Kluyveromyces lactis: one gene and its partner. The protein of the gene in region 1 interacts with the protein of each later gene in a pairwise test. Links are inferred from orthologs where the notes say so. Each region holds a gene or a part of one and is shown in the gene's direction. Other genes may lie near its edges.

What was found.
Region 2: the proteins of ATG20 (region 1) and SNX4 interact in binary tests that used the Saccharomyces cerevisiae proteins (3 or more experiments, as listed by UniProt). The link is inferred for Kluyveromyces lactis from reciprocal best matches to the Saccharomyces cerevisiae genes ATG20 and SNX4.

Annotation. Positions count from the first base shown.
Region 1 is NC_006041.1:817,440-821,204, reverse strand, and holds ATG20 (Atg20p), read left to right. Parts: upstream 1-1,465; coding exon 1,466-3,376; downstream 3,377-3,765. Other genes in the region: TRM3 (tRNA (guanosine(18)-2'-O)-methyltransferase), read right to left, coding at 1-1,110; KLLA0_E09153g (short-chain dehydrogenase/reductase), read right to left, coding at 3,502-3,765. UniProt on the Saccharomyces cerevisiae protein: Required for cytoplasm to vacuole transport (Cvt), pexophagy and mitophagy. Also involved in endoplasmic reticulum-specific autophagic process and is essential for the survival of cells subjected to severe ER stress.
Region 2 is NC_006039.1:941,726-945,092, forward strand, and holds SNX4 (Snx4p), read left to right. Parts: upstream 1-1,586; coding exon 1,587-2,789; downstream 2,790-3,367. Other genes in the region: BRE2 (Bre2p), read left to right, coding at 39-1,256; TAD2 (tRNA(adenine34) deaminase), read right to left, coding at 3,014-3,367. UniProt on the Saccharomyces cerevisiae protein: Sorting nexin, involved in the separation or division of vacuoles throughout the entire life cycle of the cells.

The DNA of each region.
Region 1 (3,765 bases):
TTCCATAGTTGCTCTTAAACCGGTGGATAGAATGATTAAACCCCAACTAGCATGAACATTTGGATCTCCAAAAATATCAAGGATATCTGGCGCAGCCGCCTCACACTGATTCAAAGCGGTATCAATCCCGACAATCTCATATAAGGTGGTAAACTTTTTCCATGATTCAATCTCAGACCTACTTCCACTGAATTGGATAATATCGGTTAGGATGGGTAAGTTATTTTGAGCAAGTAATTGGAGACTCAACTTCATGATAGAGAGCACAATTTTCTTGATTTCATGAACCTCCTGGTTTAGTCCGGATTGTATTAAATTCCAGTAATCTTTTGATTGGGCGAAACTTTGACTTGTTGTTGAGAATCCATCCTCCATTAACATCCTTAAACAAAAGATATAGCCATTTTTTGCAACTGTGATTGGTGCGCTTTCGGTAAGCAAGTTACGTAAAAGAGACCATACGGTTATATCTAGTTTCTCATCCTCTTTGCAGGCTGTAGCGAACGATGGGATCCACCATTTGAACAAAGAAGTCGCCGCATTTGAAAGTTTCTCATCCTTCGATAACGAAAGTAAAAAGAGTAGCTTTCCAATGTTGACACTGTTGGCGATGAGGTCGTTATATGATCCTGAAGCGGACCCTTGAACCAACACTTCAAGAATGTCTAGCAGTTTTGTTCCATCTAAGATCAATCCGTCATCGAGCGAGTTAACTTGAATAAACCCAGATATTCTAATCAGTTGTTGACATTCAACATCAAATAGCATTGTTATATGCGAAAGGATGAATGAGCTCAAATGGGAACTTAGAAAATCATGCATAAATTTATTGCTTTGCTTTAGCTTGGGACAAAGCTTAAGCAATGCAATTAGTTGTTGATCTTTTTCAACTCGCAAACCATCGTCATCATTGACATGTTTAGCGATTACTTCTCCAAGAGTGATAGATAGTCTATTGCCAGTGTTAATGGAGACATCTTCTGTTAGTTCAACCGAACTTAGCACCGAACTAATACCTTCATAATCTTCAGTTTCAATGAGTGAGGAAAGAATCTCTTCTTGTACTGAGGGCGAGATATACCTACCCAAGATTTGCCTTGAGTGGCTCATTATCTGATATAAAAATCCTTACGTTGAAATCAGGTTCTAAAACTATATACATTCCCATAACATGTAATTAAGTTTATCTGGTCTCATCGCATCTCATCTGGTCAGATCGATTTAACTAACCGTAATGGTATAAATGATTTTTCAAGATGCATGTTGATGATGAACAATTGGGCTGCGCCAGAAAAACTTTGGGCCCCGAAACACGTATTAGAAATCGAGAAGACTGTTACCCGAACATGGCAGTTAAGTTACAACTTGTTGACATGTAAAACGCCCCTTATGAATTGACACGAACTTCAATATGAGTAGATAAAGGGTTGAATTAGGAGCATATGAAGAGCTATTTAGTGACCTTATGCAGATAAATTTTGAACCAATGCCGAATTCAGTAACGCATTTAGAAAATAACAGTCCTTCAAGACTTAAAAACAATAAGACTGTTGAGGAGCATAAGGAGCATGAACCTGATTTACAGACGCAGAGCGAGATGAGAAGGGAAAGCAACGGATCTCCCAAAGACACTGCAGTCACGAACCAGAACGGTGATCAACCTCATGAGAATGTAATACATACCCAGATTATCAAAAAGGACAACCCATTTTTCAACTATATGCAGGATAACGTGGACGGAAGTGATGAGAATGGAAAGAATGATGACGATGATGAGAATGCCAAAAACGCCGGAAGTGATGATAACGAGGACCAGCTTCTTCAGCCAAACAGAAGAAAAAATAGTAAGGAACGGCGTAGGAGCTCAGTAGCTACGAGTAAGGATAGTTCGCCAGATGTGCCATATAATACCTTAAACCATAACGCGAGCGGGATGACAAAAGAAGGTAAGAAAAGGGCCCAAATACTCGAGGCAAGTAAAGTATCCGAAGGACAGGGAAGAACATATATCGCTTACGCTATCAAATATGGTGATTCAATTGTGAAGCGGCGTTACAGCGATTTTGAGAGTTTGCGGAAAGTGTTAGTTAAGTTATTTCCAATAAGTTTGATCCCGCCAATTCCTGAAAAGCAATCACTCAAGAGTTACGGAAAAGCAATGACATATTCTAAATCAAGTTACCTATTACCAACGGAAAGCGGAGACTCAGTAGATCTTTCGCTATCAGTAATTAACGGACCGGTTACCACGAATGATGAGAAGCTCATACGGCACAGAATCAGGATGCTTACAAGTTTCTTGAACAGACTCTTGAAAAACCAGGAAATAACAAAGACTTCTATCGTGTACGACTTTTTGGATCCGAACAATAAAAATTGGAACGATCTAATCACAAGCTCTCTTACTATCTCATCATTACCGAAAAGTGTTCTTCAGTGCAATCCAATAGACCCTACAAACACTACAAAAGCACATTCATATTTGCCAGTACCGTCATCATCAACACAACTGCTGGCATCAAAGGACAATCATTCAGCTTCGGACGCTGATGAGTTCACTAAAATTGAAGCGGAATTCAAAAATTACGAACAATTGATACATTCTGGTTTGTATAAATACTCAAGAGCTACTACCAAGGAGGTGAACTATTTACGGGAAGATTTGAAAGGAATCAGCTCTGAGTTTGCACAATTGTCAACTGACGAAACAAAGAACGAGAGTGGACTAGCAGAATTACTTTCACACTCCAGTGATGCATATGGGACTCTGCAAGAAATTCTGGAAACTCTTGTCGGAAATTTGCATTACAACATTAATGAGCCTCTTAGTGAATGTGCCCACATGGCCACTGCTGTGCGGGATTTAATTCATTATAGAAGGTTAAAGTTGATCCAAAAAGATATCTTAGAAAGGACAATACTTTACAAGCGAGGTCAACTCATCAAGTTCCAACAGCAAGAAAACGACCACAAGCAAATAGACAATATGGTAAAGGAAGAGCTTGGTACAAATGGAGCAGTGAATCTAGAAAACCCTGCAGGACCACAAAGCTACTCTGGAAAATTCATAAATAAGTTTACCCAACTTGCAATCATAATTAAGGACTCTGTCAGTTATCAGGAACAAGATCCTGCAGCAGCTGCAAGATCCTTAGAGAAAGAGTTGATACAACTAGATGAAACATTGAAAGTTGCTACTAGTGATCTCGTCGTTATTTCTGAAACTCTAAAGAATACTGAATTACCAAACTTCATTAAAGAACGTGACGAAGAATTGACTCAAATCTTTAAGAATTATGCGAAATATATGAAGGAGAATGCCACTAGAAATCTTGAAATATGGAAAGAGCTACATAATCGCATTCAGGAAGCATAATCAGCTTTTGAATTAACAGATTTTTTTGAATATATACATTTTACATATATGAATTCCACCCTCCCGCGTTTAGATTCTCAACAAGAGCGGCATTAAGGAACGGATATTCATAAACGGCAAAAGTTTTATAGGAAGGGGGATAAATATTTGAACATCTGATACCATTGCCAATCCAATTCTCTTAGAGCTAATTTGAAATTCGTCCTCATCGAGTATCCCTGAACACCTTGTCTATTATGAAAGATAGCACTGAAAACAGTTTTAGCCGTCGTCATATCCTGGTGCGGTTTAGAATTAAGAGCTTTACCAAAAATCAAAAGTAAGCAGCGAACTCGGCCGTTGCTGATCAAAAAATTCTTCTTATATTGCTCTTTCAACGTCTGTTCAAT
Region 2 (3,367 bases), on another chromosome or scaffold:
AGCTTGTAAGGAGTGTACAAAGAAACGGGACATCTTCAATGAGTGTTCCAGTGATACCATACCTTGACTATGATATAGTAGATCTCGGTTCTGACATTAAAAAACCAGATTTTCCGCAATTGAGTGAATCTCATCGCATTAATGAACAACAGTACTATATCACTGAGGACACGCCATTGAATAAGAGAAACTTCATGTATCAGCCTTGTGCTGCAAATCTAATGTTGGATAAGCTCAAGTATTGTGGCACAGACTATTTTGATAAAAGCTCTATCAATTTGATGGATAGATCCGACAAATTAGCATTTTCATTGGACGACCATTCGGTGAGTGTCAGCGAGAACTGCGGGTGGAGGAGCGTTAGAAGCGACGTTTGTATGAAAGAAGGAAAAATATACTGGGAAGTGGAGGTGAAAAACGTTTCTGATACATCACACATCAGATGCGGGATAAGCAGAAGAGAGGCATCAACAGAAACTCCAGTCGGATGTGATTTTTACGGTTATAGCATTAGAGATAAAGGATTGCAAGTTATTCACGAAGGCCGCTTGCATACAGTTTTGAAACCACACGAGATGCAAGCAGGTGATAGAATCGGATTTCTACTGACTTTACCTTCCCTGCAGTCTCAAAGCGAGCAAGCCATGGATTATAGTTTAAAACGAATCCAAGAGCTAAACAACGACGACAGCCGCACCAACAAAAGGAATAAGAAATTCAATAAGGAATTCTACAAGTTTTTACTGCGTTCATGCGAGCCAACGAATGTAGTTAGAGATCAAATTGCCATCAGATATAAAAATCAATTGTTTTACGAAAGTACCGATTATGTCAAAACTACAAAACCGGAATATTATGACAACAGGGACGACATGCAAAAGTTTTACGAACTTGAAAACTCGAGCTTCGAAGTTTTCGTAAATGGTGTTTCCCATGGAATAGCTTTCGAAGGCCTTACACCATTCTTACCTCCGTTCAGCGAATTGCAGTACAATGAGAAGTTTTATTTGCATCATTGGAATAAACGTAATGTCACGAAGGGGATCGAAATAAGAAATAAATACGTAAACAACAACAGGCTAGGTTATTATGCCACTTTGAGTTCATTCCAGGGAGGCACTGCATCGATCATAACAGAAGCCATGGAACTCAAGTTTCTACCGAAAGATGTAGATATCAAAACTCTGAATGATATCTACAATGAGCAGATCGCAAGTGATATTGTATGGGACTTAATAGACGAAATTGATACATAAAATAGAAAAAGAATCTTTCTAAATACTCATTTATAGAGAACGTAACCGTAAATTAACATTATAGTTCTCCAAAGCTTAGCACTCCAATGTGTTGGACCAACTAGCACCGTGAAAACATTTCGACCGAATAGTTCATGGTTATAAAGAACTTAAACTATCCTTATACCTTATATTGAGTTGTTACCTTAAAAATAAAAAAAAATAGTTGGAAACACAGTAAACCAGAAGAACTTCATATGATAGAAAAGGGATCACTAAATAGAAGGTAAAACACTGTACAAGAAGCCGTCATATACTGACGCCAGCAATACGAATAATATCTCATGCAATATGAGTGAATCAGGAACTTTGACAAATAAAGAATCAGATACTAAAATATTAAGTGTGCTGGTGTCTGATCCTCAGAAACAGAAAACGCATTCGCAGACATATATCACCTATCAAGTATCCACGAAAATAGATGGCAAAGATGAACCGAATTGTGTGGTGAGGAGGTACAATGATTTTGTACTCCTACATCAAATATTGATAAACGATCATCCTGCACTGCTTGTTCCTCCATTACCCGATAAGAAAGTCCTAAATTATCTTTCAGGGGATAGATTCTCACATTCTTTTACTCAGAAACGTTGTCGTTCTCTTCAAACGTTCATGCGCAGGTTGTTGAGTCACTCAGAGCTTTCCAAATCCAGGATTTTGGAAACGTTTTTGACCAGCACAGATTGGGATGTTTATAGAAGGAGTTTGACGGGGCAAATTTCCACTTCTGAAGTTAGTGATGTTTTGATAAACGCTTTCAAACACGTAAACAGACAAAGGGATGAGTTTGTCGAGATTAAGGAAAAGAGCGAAAAGTTAGACCATAATTTGAGCCATTTGGACAAGCTATTCCATAAATCTGTGAAAAGAGTTGATCTGATCGGACAGAATTTGAAGAAATTACAATCCTCTTTATCAGGATTACAAGAACTTTGCTGCGATGAAAAGGAGCTATCAAACAGTATCAAAGCCTTTAACGATGGAACGATGCAATTGATAGATTCATTAAATGATTTGAACAAATACGTTGACTATGAGTATAACGTTGATATTAAAGATATGATAAACTATATCGAGGCATTGAAACAACTAATAAGGCTGAAAGATCAAAAACAAATAGATTACGAGGAGCTATCAGAGTATCTAACGCGATCCATAAATGAGAAGAATAATTTACTTTCTGGCTATGGGTCAGGAAATTATTTCAAGAGTAAACTGGAAGAACTAGCTGGTATCAATCAAGAAATGGCAAGAAGAGATAAGATAGCGAAATTAGAGACCAGAGTTCAATCTTTAACGGACGAAGTCGAAAAATCAAAACAAGTCGCTGATGAATTTGAGAAAGAGGTTCTCAAAGAGGTCGAACAGTTTGAACAAATAAAAACTTTGGAATTGAAAGATTCGTTAGCTGCTTTGGCTCAAAAACATATTGATTTTTATGATGATATGGTGGAGAAGTGGTCGAAGATCGAAGAACGTCTCGAAAGCGCCTGACGGCTGGATTTTTTTTTGAAGCCTCTCACTGTGTTTCAAAACACTACAAAGGCTTCGTAACAATTACGTAGAGACATCGATTAATAAGTTTGTACTTTTGTTTCAGTATTTATGACTATCTAGCTATCTTTATGCAATGAAAAAAAAAACGAAAACCAGAAAGAGAGTACATCCATCATGTTGTGAGCATCACTAAAACTTGGAATTGTTTAATTGTGTCAAACTCAATAAGTACAATTAACACTCTGCACCTGTTCAATCAGGTCATGCAAAAAACTTTCATCGCAGCCAGTATCTATGAGATCCCAATCAATTTCATCGTAGACGTCTCTATGCGAATAAAATGCATCTCTAAACTCCTGGCCAAATTCATCTTCAAACTCTTCGAGCGTTAAATACTTATCCCATTGTAGTGGAGGGAAGGTCTCTTTATCCAGTTTTCTATCTTTCTTTGTTCGTGGTTTGGGTGCCCTATCATTTTCTCTAACATAAAAGTAACGTAGAAGCATTATAGCTTCTCTGCGCAAAACGCCGGGGATGCTCACATATTTATTAGATTTATTTGTAGATGTATCATT